Linked DNA regions of Lonchura striata. The protein of the gene in region 1 interacts with the protein of each later gene in a pairwise test. Links are inferred from orthologs where the notes say so. Each region holds a gene or a part of one and is shown on either strand. Other genes may lie near its edges. The genes, in order: UBA3 and IMPA2.

What was found.
Region 2: the proteins of UBA3 (region 1) and IMPA2 interact in binary tests that used the Homo sapiens proteins (3 or more experiments, as listed by UniProt). The two-hybrid records come from large-scale screens. The link is inferred for Lonchura striata from reciprocal best matches to the Homo sapiens genes UBA3 and IMPA2.

What each region holds. Positions count from the first base shown.
Region 1 is NC_134614.1:19,697,797-19,705,472, reverse strand, and holds the start of UBA3 (NEDD8-activating enzyme E1 catalytic subunit), read left to right. Parts: upstream 1-4,560; 5' UTR 4,561-4,586; coding exon 4,587-4,606; exon of another isoform or gene 4,607-4,617; intron 4,618-4,723; coding exon 4,724-4,765; intron 4,766-7,632; coding exon 7,633-7,676. Other genes in the region: ARL6IP5 (PRA1 family protein 3), read right to left, coding at 2,359-2,534. UniProt on the Homo sapiens protein: Catalytic subunit of the dimeric UBA3-NAE1 E1 enzyme. E1 activates NEDD8 by first adenylating its C-terminal glycine residue with ATP, thereafter linking this residue to the side chain of the catalytic cysteine, yielding a NEDD8-UBA3 thioester and free AMP.
Region 2 is NC_134603.1:52,902,856-52,910,312, reverse strand, and holds the start of IMPA2 (inositol monophosphatase 2), read right to left. Parts: upstream 3,138-7,457; 5' UTR 2,989-3,137; coding exon 2,878-2,988; intron 1-2,877. UniProt on the Homo sapiens protein: Phosphatase that can use myo-inositol monophosphates, myo-inositol 1,4-diphosphate, scyllo-inositol-1,4-diphosphate, glucose-1-phosphate, beta-glycerophosphate and 2'-AMP as substrates in vitro.

The DNA.
Region 1 (7,676 bases):
TTACAATTCCACTGTGCTCATGGCAAGGTTATTCCATACTTTGTGGAGAGAAGGTAAAAGGCTGGAGAAGTCAGCTTTGTTATAGGAGGGGCAGCAAACTAAAGCTGTGGCACAAAGCACAAAGTATTTCCAGTATCAAGAAAGCTCTGGACTACAATTTCTGTGTCAACCCAGCTCAACCACAGAACTGCAACAGCTGAAAATATTATCTTTGCATTTCAAGTCTGTCTGTATAATTAGATGGCTTATGGGCAGGTAAAGTTGGTCACAGATTAAGACCACTTTATTAGTGGTTCCAACAATCCTGCCCTTAGGCCTGGACACAGCCCTGGAGTTCCTAAAAAGCCATGATTCATCATTTATCAGGGGTTCCCGACCATTACAGGATGAAGTGAAAGACAACTTAGTCATCAATTTAAATTTATCAGGAGAACTTTCTTTACCTTTCTTCCAAAGCCACAGTCTGGCCAATTGAAAAGTATTTTTATTAAAAGAAATGGATACTTTTTCTCTATTGAGGTATTATCCCATTTCCTTTAGAATTATTCTCCCATCTAATTTTACTTCCATGTCAGAAGAATCAGGTTCATCATATACCAAAGACTAAGACATGCAATAAAAAAATATGTGAGATAAAGATCCCACTTCAGGTCTTGTTCATCCATAAGTTTTCAACTCAGAGGGTTATCACTCAATATTAAGATATTATAATTTCAGCTCTGATATTAGTTTCCATCTTCTGTGGCTCTCTTCCTCCTCCACCTCCCACCTCAGCACATTAGTAGGAAATAAGTGGGAGACAAATCTCCCTTGATCTGAAGAAAAGCAATCAAGAGTTCCAAAGCAGGAATTTAGGAAGGTGAGTAAAAGCTGCTGCCATCCCTGTTTTACAGGGAGATACCCTGTTTGGAGATACCTAAATTATTTTCATTCTTTTCCCACCTTCTTGGGCAGAAGAGCTGTCCGCCTGCTTTCCAGGGACCCTGTGATTTACTTGTTCATTGAGAGCCAGCTACAACATGGTGCTGCTAATGAGGGTAATGAACACACAAATATAGAACAAAGTGGTAGAAGAACAGCAAGACCATAGAAGTCTCATTTTGCCAGCCTAGTAGTCTGTAAATATCACTGCAACATATTGCCACCAAAATACAAAATAAAAATGCCTATGCCACTCTACTGAACCTAAAACCATCATATGCATTAAGAAGAAAATGCAGGATTGAGCCTATCCTTCCACAGAGTACAGGTCAAAGTCTGCTGTGAGCCAGAGAATCTTTATCAACTTAGATGCTGGGTCAACAGCTTCAGAAGCCCTAACAGGATGCAGAATGCGTACCCCTCACAAAAAAAAAAAAAAAAAAAAATATTTAGGGGAATCACTTTAAGCCTCTGCAACATAAGAGATAAGATGTACTTCAGCCAAAGCCACTCTGGCCTGGTAGCTGGGCAGTTCTCCAATTTAAGCATTTGTGCGTTGCTTGTTGAGAAGAGTGGAGTATTTCAGTTTCCATATTAAAAGCTTAATCATCGTTTCTGCTGCATGTCTTGCTTAAGAGCTTTCTGACCAAAGATCCTAGAGCAGTACCTGAAATAGAGTCACATAGCCTTTAATTCAGAAGGTGATTATAAGGTTATTTCCTCATTCCCTTCAGGAATGCTGGGTGTGAAACAACATTGTACCAGCAGATGGTCCTGCCTCGAAGGTGTGAATCCTGCCCACCAGAACGAAATGATGGGGTACCTTATTTATTTTATAGCGATTTTTTTTGGTATGAGCTAGTTCAGAAATAAGAACGGCTTGCCCTGAACATTACTTTAGGACAGTTACAGAGAGCAGAATTTATCTATGCATTTTTTTTTAAATTCAAAGCTGAGCGTGCCTCAGCCTGAGCAGCCCCGCTGGGCAGGTTCAGGAGGAAGCACAGATCGCTGCGCAGGATGCGGCTCCGATTTCCGCGAGCAGCAACATCCCGCACCCCAAGCATCGCTGCCTTCCGCAGCCTCCGCCTCGGGCACAGGGCTGGAGGAGCAGCCCGTGGGAAAGGGAGACAACACACACGGAGTCCTCAGGCCGGTCACACCCCACCAACACATCACAAACCCGGCTGCTACCGCGGCTGTAAACCAGGCCTCTACATTTTTTAAACGACACCAGAGGTTTAAGGAGGGGCGGGATGGGGAAAGGGGAGTGGAGGAGGGTAAGGGGAAAAGAGGGGAAAAGGAGGAAGGGAAAAGGCAGCTCCCCCGCCCCTGTACTCTCACATCGGGTTCTTTCCCGTGGCACCCGCCCGGGGAGCGGGGCCACCCCAGCCGCAGCCCGGCCCTGCCGGCCGCACCGCGAGGCCGCGCACTGACCCCACGATGGAGACGAGCGCGGCGGCCACCATCAGGTAGTTGGTCTGGTAGTAGAGCAGGTTGCTGACCACGCGGTTGTTCCATTTCGAGATGTCCTTGAGGTCGGGCAGCGCGAAGCGATCCGAGCCGGGGAAGAAATCGTCCCAAGCCCGCAGCGGGGCCACCTGCACCTCCATGGCCGCCGCCGCCGCCGCGCAGGCTCGGGAGCGCCGGGCACCGCCCCGGGGCGGCACCGACACCGACAGCGACAGCGGTACCGGGGCGGCACCGGCACCGACAGCGACAGCGGTACCGGGGCGGCTCCGGCACCGACAGCGACAGCGGTACCGGGGCGGCACCGGCACCGACAGCGACAGCGGTACCGGGGCGGCACCGACAGCGACAGCGGTACCGGGGCGGCACCGGCACCGACAGCGGCCCCGCGCCGGTGCGGCCCCGCCGCTCCGCGCTGCCGAGCCCGCGAGCGAACGGGCAGCAGCACAAGCGACAGGCGTGTGTCACCGCCCAGGGCTGGCAGCTGGCAGGGGCTGCTGTCAATAATCGCTGTGCGTTCATTGTTCCTTCAGCGAGTGGTGATGCACGTTGAGCATTCACGTGGGCGAAGCCACTCGGCATCATCTGTGAAAGCAGGGATGAGTGGGGCGGGCACCGCGAGGAGTGTCAGCCTCACCACTGCGGGGTGTCCCATGGCAGGGGGGCTCTGCTAGTGGGGTTTAGGATGTCTTCAGGCTGAATTTGCTGTCTTCACGCTGAATTTTCTCACCTTTTGCAAAGTAACTGATGCCGTCTGATAATTTCTACGATATAATTTGCCTAATGAAAAAAAGAACTTTGGATTTCAGGCATTGCGTTAGATTACATCACCTAAATAAATATGCATTAGGAGGGCGGAGAATATGTAGTAAGTAGGCGTGTTCATGTAAATGTTACTATATAATAGATAAAACTTCTTACCCCTTGGGGTACTTGATTTTGGAAACTTCCGCCTGGCAGATTAAACCATGTCTCCTTTCTAAACCAGACTCTGTGTTTAGAGAGCTCCTAAAATAGGCAACAGGGTGACTGTGCCTTTGGATGGAAAGGTTGGTGCCTGCAGCTGTGGTGTTTTGACCCCAGCAGTCTGTGTTGGAACATTTGTGTTTTCAGGCTTTCACACTTCAGCCACCATGGCTCGAGCACGGGCTGTTTGTGCATCACACAGCACCCAGGGTTTGCTGATACCGTGCCGAGCATCAAAATCCTTCTCCAAATGTAAGCAGGCTGGCACTTGAAGGAATCCTTGAAGGATTTACATCCCTGAAGTTTGGAAGTCCAAGACTTGAACACAGGCCAAGTTAGTCCTCATCATCTTCCTGGCCTGCACTGTTCTGGTTTATGTGTGGTCCTTGGTTTATGTGGTTCTGGTTTATGTCCAGGCCCTGCCCAGGGAGTGTTAGTAAGACAAAAAGCCATTGTGGCAGGCAGCGACCAGCCTGAGCCTGATCACATTTGGGTTCCAGCTGTCCTGAAGGCTTTAAAGCACCATGGTGTCTGCCCTTTTTCCCTGAGGATGCCCTCCATGGCTCCCAGGGAGTTCTGAGCCCGGAGGAGGCTGGAGCAGCTCTGCTACGAGGAAAGGCTGAGGGAATTGGGATGGCTCAGCCTGGGGAAGAGGAGGCTCTGCGGTGACCTAATTGTGGCCTCCCAGTACCTGAAGGAAGGCTGCAACAAAGATGGAGAGAGACTATTTACAAGGGCCTGGAGTGATAGGATAAAGGGGAAGGGCTTCAAACTGATGGACAGTAGGTTTAGATTAAATACTAGGAAGAAATGCTTCCCTGTGAGGGTGGTGAGGCACAGATTGTCCAGAGAAACTGCTCAGATGCTTTTCCCATCCCTGGAAGTGTTCAAGGCCAGGTTGGACGGGGCTTGGAGCAACCTGGGGCAGTGGAAGGGGTGAAAGTGGATGGGCTTTGAGGTCCCTTTGAAGCGAAACCATCGCACTCTGTGGCCATCAGAGAGGCGGGCGCAGGGAGATCCCTCGGGTGCGGGCAGGCGGGACGGGAGGGAGCCTCTGTGTGAGGGAACGGGGGTGTCCCTGCCGAGTGTCCGTGCTTGTTGTCCCCACTGTCCCCACTGTCGCCACTGTCGCCACTATCGCCACTATCGCCTCAGCCGCCTCAGGCGGCGCTGCCCGCGCCGCGCCCGGCGCCGCCCCTCGCGGGGCACTGTGGGAAGCAGAGGGAACTATGGCGGATGGTGAGGAACCGTAAGTGCCCTGTATGTGTGTGCTCGGCCGGCCCTGCCCCGCGCCCGCGGTCCCCTCTCCCTCCTCCCCGGTCTCTGTAGCGCGATACTGACCCTTCTTTTATTCTCTCTCTTTTAGGGAGAAGAAAAGAAGGAGGCTAGAGGAGCTGCTGGCGGATGGGTTAGTGCGGGGCTGCGGGCCAGCGGGGCAGGGGCAGCGCTTGCTGGGGCGGGGTGAGGTGAGGGCAGCCGCAGCCCCGCAGGAGCTGAGCGCGGGCAGGGAGGAGGGAGCCCCAGGAGAGCTGGCGTAGCTGGGGCAGGGCCCTTGAGCAGCGAGGCCTGGGGGACAGGAGAGGAGAGGAAGCTCCCGGGGAGGCAGAGGAGCGAGGGGCTGGCCCGGAGCGGCGTGGGAGATGCGGGCTCGCAGCTTGGCATGGTGTGCTGAAGAGCTTGGTGACCAGAGGGGGGAAAGCTGCCTTGCCGTCAGGGACCTGGGAGGGCCTCTAGGCTAGAAGCAGGTGACTTAAGCTTTTGGCTGGAAATTTAAAAATTCAGACTGCAGAACGGTTGTCTCTGCACATTAAAACGCGTTAAAATCTAGCCTTAAAGGCCGTGAAAATGAATGTTGAGAAATCCTTAACGACATCTGCTTCATTCCTGAATTATTCCATTCCATGTGCTTGTGTCCCTCTACCCCAGGGTCAGCAGGCAGTGCATGTGTGTGGGGATGGGGCCACAGCATTCCCTGGGCATGTGGGATGGGAGGGGGTGCATGCCAAGTCCCCCAAAAGCATGGAGCTTTGCAGATGTGAAGGTGGCAGGGAAAAGTCTGAGCTTAAAGCAATATAAGGACTGTGGTGCTCTGATATTTCAAACAAAATTTAAAATGAAAATAACTCAATGAAATACAAAAAAATGCTCTTGAACTCTTATACCTGGTCGTGCTGTAACAGCACAAAAAGTGAAGATGGCAGGGAAAAGTCTGAGCTTAAAGCAATATAAGGACTGTGGTGCTCTGATATTTCAAGCAAAATTTAAAACGAAAATAACTAAATGAAATACATAAGAATATTGTTGAACTCTTATACCTGGTCATGCTGTAACAGCACAAAAAATAAACACTGGAGAAAACTGCCTGTGAAATAAAACATGAAATCTCAGGTTGAGTTATGGATGTTTTTCAGATCTCCACAATGTCCAACCATCTAAAAATCGAACTGTAGTCTAATTGCAAAAGTGAAATTAGATCTTAGCATTTTTATCAATTAGGAAGGAAAATACATATCTAAACAGAAATACACATTGAAACAGAAAAGGAATGCTGCTGCTTAGTAGCTGTTCATAAGGGCTATATAAAAGAATAAAAAATTTGTTCTTAATGTCACCAAACATTGCTTCAACACTAATTTCCAGAAACACTAAAAACTATAATATCCATAGAAGCAGTTTTTGTGATGTCTGCTGATCCATTTTATTTGCTTAAGTCAGTGCTTAATGCACCTCCTGAAATCTGGTGTACAGCAGATGAGGGGTTCTGCACAGAGGGTGCTGTGTTCATTTACACCATTTCCCATTATGTGAAATATGTGTATTTTCATATTATTGTGAAAACTAGAGGAGATATGAAAGTGCATCTGAGGTCAAAAGACCCTTATGAATTAAAGTAATTTTTGTATGTCTTATTTAACTGCTCATGTAGTGAATAACTCCCCTCAGCTATTAATGAGGAGAGTTCAGTCTGCAATCAAATTATCATAGAATCCTAGAATGGTTTGAGTTGGAAGGGACCTTAAAGATCATCTCATTCCAACCCGCTGCCATAGGCAGAGACATCACAGGTGAATTATGATTTATTTATTCCTGCAGTTTAGGGAAGTTTTTCCCTATTACTGAAAATCTTTTCCAAAATCTGTTGCCTGTAAGTTCAGTTACTATTGGCACACTGTGTTGTCCAAGTTCTGAATTCTGTGAAGATAAAGGAACTCACTCCAGATGTTTTCACCACATTTACCTTTGATTTTGAGATGAGTTACAAGGAAGTTATAATAAATTCTAAACATTATCCAAGAATTATTAGACAAGTGCTTTTCATAGTGCTTCATAGGAGAAAGCAGGTAACACTTTATCAGTGGTGACACATCCTTTGCTACTCAGGATTGAATCCTTTATATTAATGTAGAACATAATCATATTTATTGAGTGGAACTCCTGTTTATTTAATAGGGAAGTAGATGTTAATCTTACAGTAGAAAATTACTTGAGAGCTGATTTTGAACTATTCCTGTAAGTCTCTGAAAAATTTAAGTCTATACTTATGTACTATTAAAAGTGACCTGCAAAATGAGAAAAGGGTAGTGGAGTATTCAATGTAAAATTCTGCCTTGAAAATTTAAAGGAAGATAGCTGCAAACATTCCTTTTTTTTTCAATTGAGACTGTTACTGCAGACAGGCTTGAGCATGCCTGAAAAATGGGACAGTTCCAATTCCCTGGTACCACTTGAGGGTGAAGAACATTCTTGATTCATGTATTTTAAAAATATTTGTTTAAATAAACTACCCTGAAGATTGAGAGGATGATATTGGGGCATGTTACTGTAATTTATTCAGAGCCTCACAATTGCAGTTACAGACTGATAAGTCTATCAAAAAAAGATACAAGACTTGAGTGATGAAAAAATGATCACCCTCAAAATCTAAAGGAACAAGCTCTTTTTCAGTGTCCTCTTCAAATTTGAGGGAAATAAAAGTAATAAGAATAGGCCCTTTTTAAACTGCAGGTCAACTTTTACTAGTAACTGTTAAAGCAGTGGGTTTATTGAAAGGCCTGGGTTTTTTTTTCCCCTCTGTGCATATTTATATTATTGCTTTCTAGTTTCACAAATAAAACCCACTCATGCAAATGCTCATGTGCATTACTTAAGAGGCATAAAGAATATGCAGGTGCATTTGTACAAATGATCAATAATTTAGGTGTTCTTTGCATAGAAAGTTGGAGGTGTGGCTTTTCCTGTCTGATTTTGCAGCTGAATTTACTGTGTTCTGTGCAGAATGGCTGTTGATGGTGGGTGTGGGGACTCTGGAGACTGGGAAG
Region 2 (7,457 bases), on another chromosome or scaffold:
GAGTCTCCTACAGTAGTGTGCTCATGTCAGATATTTCATTTCACCATACTGCTTGCACCCACCATACACTTCTGGGAGATCCAAGATGGATTATGGATGCTTGCAATGCTGTCCTGAAATATTTACTGACTAATAAAATCAAACATCTAGATAAAAAGCGTGAGTATCTGCAAATAATTCAGGAAATTCCAATCTGGTTTGCTAAAACATCTGTCCACGTTACATCAAAAATAGCCTAAAATTTTCCCCTGGGAGCAAACATCATGGAAAAATATATTGGCTTTTTAGAATACCAGAAAAATTTTGTCTTTTTTTTTCTTTTAGTGGTATTCTGCTAGATCTTTTATGCCTCATAAAACTATTTTCCAGACAAAAAAGAAAAAAATACTAGAGAGAAAAAAAAAATCAAACTTCAGCATACTATGTCCTAGTATCAGTTTCTTACTCTTATTTTTACCTGGATGTTTGTTTACTCATTTTGGTTAAGCTTTTCCAATTCTGCAATTGGAGAGAACAGTGAAGATATTAGTCAGTGCGCTTAACAGCATCAAAGATGCACAGATTGGTCAGGCCTGCTTTTCTTGAGCAAAAAGTAATATCAAACCTATGGCTATACTTTCATGAACAGAGCAAGCAGGTTACTTACAGAAAAAAACAGAAGGGAAATTTGAAAAAGTGAAGTTATTTGTGGCCTTATAGAATGAATTTAAAAGCAGGTCAATTACAGACATTACAAAACCATGACCATTCTTGTTATGAAACAGCCATATATATTAAATGAGAGCCTGTGTTATTTCATAAAAGTAATAAGAACTTGCCACAGGGCAAGAGAATCAGTGATTTTAACCTAGTAATAGAGGTTACTCCAGCAACAATACTTTAGACACATAATCAAGCATCACTTCTTTATTGGCCTTTTAAGTTTAGAAGAAACTATTCTATAGTGTAGACTCCTCTCTGTTGGGAAGAAGACACATTTTACCTACAGTCATGAAACATAATGCAATACAAATCAATTGGTTGTATAAGCCAAAAGGGAGACTGGAAAACTGTGTTACTGGCTGACTTTTCCTAGAAATCCAAAATCTGGAGGTGCACATTTTTCTTCAGGCCAAGACTCTTGTAGACATTTTCTAATGATTCCAACCCTTCCTAACCTGCCACACTCCTGAGAAATGGAGCACCTTAAAGAAAAGGCTGAAGTGGCAAAGTCTCATCCAGAGATGGAGATTAAATTTAGATGTGGGGAGACACAGAGTGCAAGCAGATTTCTAGGGATGGAGGTGAAGGTGGAAAGGTCTGAGGGATGGGAAGAGAAGCAGAAGAAAAAAATGAACTTGGCTAGTGGAATTGACCGCTTTTGGTGATCAAGATAACCCCCATTTTTATCATTCAGTCTTCAACAAACTGCCAGTCCTACGAAACACATTTTGCACTGCACTAGGTGTCCTTAGCTATAGTTTATTTTGGTAATAGCTGGAAGCAGATTGACACTTAAATAAAATAATAGAGCCATACCTGCACCTTTTCTTCCAGAAGGATCTCCAGTGCCTTTTGTAACAAAAAAGATTCCTTAACATGACAAAATAATTGGAAAAAAAAATACCCAGTTTCCAAAGTCCTACTTAAACAACATCCTTGGCTGGCTTAAATTTGGCCTGCCAATGAATCAGGTATTTCATGCCATTTACAAGGTAGCAATGGCAAATTGTGATTTCAGATTCAAGGATTAGTCTTATGGAATGTTTACTTCTTCCAGGAAAAGGTGCTCAGCTGTGATTTTCTGAGCAAGTAAAATGATTGGGGAAGCTTAAAGCTGGCTTCACAAATTGGTGTTTTGAGAAATAAGGTGTGGAGGCTTGAGCAAGTCATGAGTCTCTTCTTGTGAAACGGCTGGCAGAATGACTGCTGGAGAAACTCCTGTTTTGAGAGTCTGTGAGAGCATGACCTGTCATCCTGATTTGGATTATCCATTTAGTCCCTGTATTATTAAAACAAGTCTCCTCTGGCATTCTGTTCACTTGTAGTTGTTTTTGACTAAGGAGAAAATGTATTTAATATTACATTTTATTTATTAATACTTTTATTTATAAAAGTTATGGATCTTGGACTCAAGATTAAAAAGGGGGCTTCTTAAATCACAGTGTATATGTACAAAGCGTGTTTCAAAATAGAGCAGAATGGAAGCGAGAGAGAAATATACATTGCTGAATAAATTTGTGTTTCACCCAGTTTCTCAATCAATCAATCTGCTGATCCCACTTCTTGGCTCTGTTAGACCTGGTGGAAGTTTTGCTGCTGCAGAGTGGGGTCAGGCTGCCTCCTGAGATGACTAACCTGCTGTGTCAAAACACGGATCTGAAATAAGCTACTACAGACCTTCCTCACACAGCTATTTGTCCCTAGCAAGTTAATTTCGGCCACTCTAACAAGAGAAAACCTCCTTGACACGGTTGTTTTTCTCTGCACAAGCTGCTGGAAAACAAATGCTGGCCCCGAAGGATGCAACCCCCAAGGGATGCACCCGAGGGATGGGGCCTCGCAGGGAAGGGGCCCTTTGGGGGCATGCAGCCCCCGAGGGAAGTACCCCCAAGGGCTGGGCCTCCCTACCCCGGGCTGGGGCCTCGAGGGAAGTGTCCCCGCGGCATGAGGCTCCCGGGGGATGTGGCCTCTGAGGGTTGGCCCCCAGGTTCTGGGGTCCCTCGGGATGGGGCCCCGCTGCCGCCATCCCTCCCGCGGCCGAAGGCTCCGCCGGCGGCCCGGGCGAGCGGGTGCCGAGCCCCGCCGCCCTCCTCCCGCGCCCCGGCTCCGCACCAGCCGAGCGCCCGCACGGGAGAAGGCTCCTCCGGCCGCGGGGCAGCCCGGCCCGGCTCTCACCTGCCCGGCGCGGCGCGCCAGCTGCACCGCCACCTCCGCGCACTCCTTCCAGGGGTCCCCGCCGCCGCCCGCCGCCCGCCCTTCCTCCTCCTCCTCCTCGCACGGCTTCATCGCGGCGGCCGCGCTGCCCGGAGCGGGGCCGGGGGGCGCGGGGGGCCCGGCTCCCCGCCCAGGAGCGCCCGCCGAGGAGGATGCCCTGGGCGCACACACCGCCCGGCGCTGTCACTGCGCGCCCCGGCCGCGCCCCGCCCAGCGCGGCGGGGCGGAGAGAGGCGGCAGCCGCGGTCAATGGGGAAGGCGGGCTGGCTGCTGAGAGCTGGCTTTAGGTGAGCCCCGGGGGCGGAGGAGGGCCGGCAGAGGCGGGGGTACCGCGGAGAGCAGCGCCGGGGCCGCGCCGAGAGGGCGGGATGCGGCGGGCAGGGTGCGCAGGGGGTTGCGGAGCGCAGGATGCGGGATGCGGAGCGCAGGATGCGGAGGGCAAGATGCGCCGCCATCGCCATGGCCGTGCTCCTGCCGCCCCTCCTGACATGGCGCCGGGACCGCCAGGCTGGGGCTGGGGCGCTCCTGTTTCCCCCGGGAGAAGGAGGAGCGGCCGCGCTCCCGGGCCGAGCGGCCCCTCGGGGCTCCGCTGTCCCCGTGTGCCGCAGCCACCTCGCCCGGCTCTCGGCGTTACCGGGACTTTGGGGGAAAAGCTGGCGGCTGGCATTGGCTATCTCCGGAATGAAAGGGGAAAAGTGTGGGAAAAGCGGCCTCGGGAGTTCAGCTTGTTAGTGATTGGGAGTTCAAGTGTGTGGTAAGAAATACATGGCCCTTTCTATTTTTCCCTTGTCTTCGTGTGTCATTTTGGATTTGTCAAGGATGAAAAGAAGAGAATTGAGAACTCGCTGTTCCAGAATCCGTATAAGCCAAATTGCCATGCCGGCAGAGCAGGGAACAGAGCTGAGCGATTCTGGATCCGCCTCTCCGAAGGAGGGCAGCCCAGGATGAATGCGTGCTTATGCAATAGAGCAGCCAGACTGTTGTGCTTAAAACACCGAGTGAGTGTTGGGAACACACACTTTATCTGTCAGAGTGAGGCTTTTCCAAATGACTTGTTCCGATGCACACTTGGCATTGAATTGGAAAAAAGAGAGCCCAGGGACTGAATCCATCAGCGTAGCTTTTTGAAAGAGGCATTAGGTATACAGAGTGCATGAAATTTGTTATTGTCTTTCAGCACCTGCTTTGTGGTTGAGAGTTTCATTCCCAGGGCTAGAATAGAGATGCTTTAGTAACGAATTTGCATGAAGAAAATTGGCTAACACCACCATTTCCTATCTCTGAGCACAAAATTAATTAATTTCCTAGAGAATAGGCTAAATTAAATTGATGTGGGTATTCTACTTAATGTAACAGACCCTAAATCTAGACCTATTTTCTTTTGTTTTTTATCTTGTAGGACAAAGATGACTTTGGGATGAGAGGGATATGCTTGCCTAGGCAGTTCACAAAAATAATAGACACTTTCTAAAATTAAACACTTGGATCTTTTCCCCCTAAAGCAAGGGAGTGAACTTTGTGGCTTGTACCACAAGAATTCAACTTAATTCTTTAAATTTCTAAGCTGCACCCTGGCAGTGGATGTCAGTCTACTTAATGAAATATTTTGTAGTCCCCATTTTGAATCAGGAAAAAATGGTAACAAACTATGAAAAGGTGAATTAACTACTACACAAAGTGTGTATGTTTGGTTGAAGCATGAAATTATGAAATTTTGTTGAATAAATCTTCACCAAATATTTGTCAATCTTTCTGCTGACTGATTTGTTTCCTCCAAATGCATATTTGCGTCATTCCTATGTTAGATTAGTTAAATGCAAAAAACCCTACAAACATGCAGTATAATTTGGACTAGTATAGAATAGAATTGGTCTGGATTCTTCTTTAGTCTGAATTTCCTCTAGGTTTTGGAAATTTGTGTTTTTTATTGCTGCCATAGCATGAGGCATCTTCAGGACCTTCCCTAGAGAGTTTCTGTGCAGGGCTAGATGGGTAAATGTATTTCCTTGTGAAATTTGTGGACTGCTGAGATGTAGTATAGACAGCTTTAACTTTGGTGAAAAAGATGTAGAGTTAATAATGGTTTTGCATTCCAGGAAGCATCTCAGACCATGATAGAAGTGCTTTCTGTGTTTTTTCTTGAACTACAAAGTTTTAGTTACTGAATTTGCCAACAATAAACGCCTATACCTATTGCTGAAACAGGCTAGATCCTAATCTGATGTAGTGCAAGTGGTTTCTTCCTGTATGCCTGGGGTCTGCCTAAATGCCTGGAGATTTGTTGTTATTAGGCTGCCACAGGGGCGTTTGGAAGACTATTTAAGGCATGTTTTAAAAGCAGTTAGTGTGAATTACAATGCAGTAGCAGGATACACTGTATACAAGTATCCCCACTGAAGGTATCTACAGAAAGTTACACACAACTTCACAGAGAAGTACTGTTGCAAAGAGGGGGAAGTGCTCCCCTCAATATTTTTTCTTCACAGGAGTGCGTCCTCTTTCTAAGTAACGTCTGGAAAAATAAGCATTTCAACAGTAGAATTTTTCCAGCCTTCTTTTCATTCTGGTGGTAGAATAGTGATAATAGGATCACTGGAGGCTGAACTTGAGAGGCTGAAATATCTGAATGAGTCCTCATTTTTTACAGATTTACTGCAGCTATGTGGCTCGTGCAGGGAGATTTAAAACAGGACTAGAAGGTCAGTAAAGAATACTTAGAAAATCAGTAGCTACAGCTAGTATTTCAAGACTTTCCAAAATACTTTGCAAGAAAATACAGCTGCCTGTAAGGCCTTTAAATGGTAATATTTCTCTTTATCATTCTCCTAGTCCATGATTTTTTCAAACCTTCCTTAGCCTAGACCTGCCCAGGCAGTGTGAGCTTCCCCATGTGAGCTGCTGGCTGACATTGACTGTCCATTCACCTGCGAGCTGGTTGAGGCTGCTCTCTGCCTTGCTGGATCAGACTCTTGGCTCATCTTTCACAACTGCCAAGGTCTTTCATAACCTCTGATCTTTCATAACCCCAAACTCTAGCCAGTTCCTCTCACATGCCTTTCGTAACCTACACACACACCGCGTGTTTAATCCACTTGGAATAGGCCCATCCTGATGAACCTGAAATACAAGTGTTTCTTGGGTGCTTTGTCTGCCTCAATCCTCCTGAGCCCCAGGCAGACTTGTGTGGATGTCAGACTTCCTTCCCCGAGACAATGGATGCTCAGTGGAGGGGAAAACCTCCTCTTTGACCTCAGAGGAGAAAAGGGAGACTAGTCACGGATTTCCTTCTCTCCCGGGGTGTGAAGCCCTAATTGACTTAGGTGTGGCTCAGCTGGGGGTGGCGGTCTCCTTCCCTTCCTGTCCCAAGGCGCTGCGCAAAATACGCGGTGCGGCCGCTCCGTGCGCCGCGCAGGGGTCCCCAGCGCGGTCTGCTCGGAGCAAAACCCAGGGTCACTCGGTGGGGCAGCTGCCGCAGCTGGAACTGGTTTAATTCTGCCTCAGCAGACAGCTTGCCATTCTCTACGCCGATAGTAATTGCAGGCTGCAGTGATGTAATAAGGTTGTAGTTTTGCAGAGTGAAGGTGACCTCGCTGTAGCCGTCGGCATGGGATCCTCAGATGCTCTCCAGTGCGGATCTTTGGCACTTCACGGACTTGATGGATCTTTGTCATTTCTTTGGTTTGATAGACGATCTCCTAACAGGGGATAAAATGGGAGGACAAGTGTATAACAGCTTTAATAAAAACAGAGGGGTGAAGAAAAAAAGAAAAAGGAAGAAATCTTTTGCAATTATTATCCTGAGTGCGAAAGAGCATTTCCTCAGTGTGACAGCCAGAGGCTTGCTGCACTGTTATTAAAGTGCACTTCAGTGGGAATCCATGCAGATGGCTTTTTTACCCAGCATAGGATTATATTGGATTAGTCATATAAAATTGTTGTTTACCATCTCTAGTCCTTTTCCCCAGAGCTTTTAGCAGGAATCTCACAAAGCATGTAGTTTCAGTCTGCCTTTACGCGGTAACCCAGCTTTTTGTTTGTGCAAACTGCTACAATGTTGTAGTTTAATGTAATCCTAATGTTGCAATGGGAGATTTTATACCTGATAAAGGAGGCTGTTTGGCCCAGATTTTCCTTTTGGCTATAAGAAATGAAGTTAGATCTTAAGGAGATGCTCTTTCTTATTGCTGGACTCTACAGAAGAGCTGTGCTGATCCCACTTCTGCTCCATCCGAGACAATCAGAGATTCCTAACACTGGCACTGTTTTTCATAATGCTCACTAATGAGTTAATGCTTAATTAATGCACTGTTCTGAGTGATGTATGAGATATTTCTTGTGTTCCCTTTCTATCATGCAGAGCCGTACTCTGACCATCTTTCTTCTCTATGTCTAGAAGTCTCAGGGATCACTGTGTGAAAAACATCAATCGGTTTTTTTTTTTTTTTAATCTTAAAAGTTTATTAATAATAAAATAGTTATAAAAAGTGGCAGTAAAATTAGAGTAATAAAATTTTTGACAATGAGGATTAGGACACTATGAG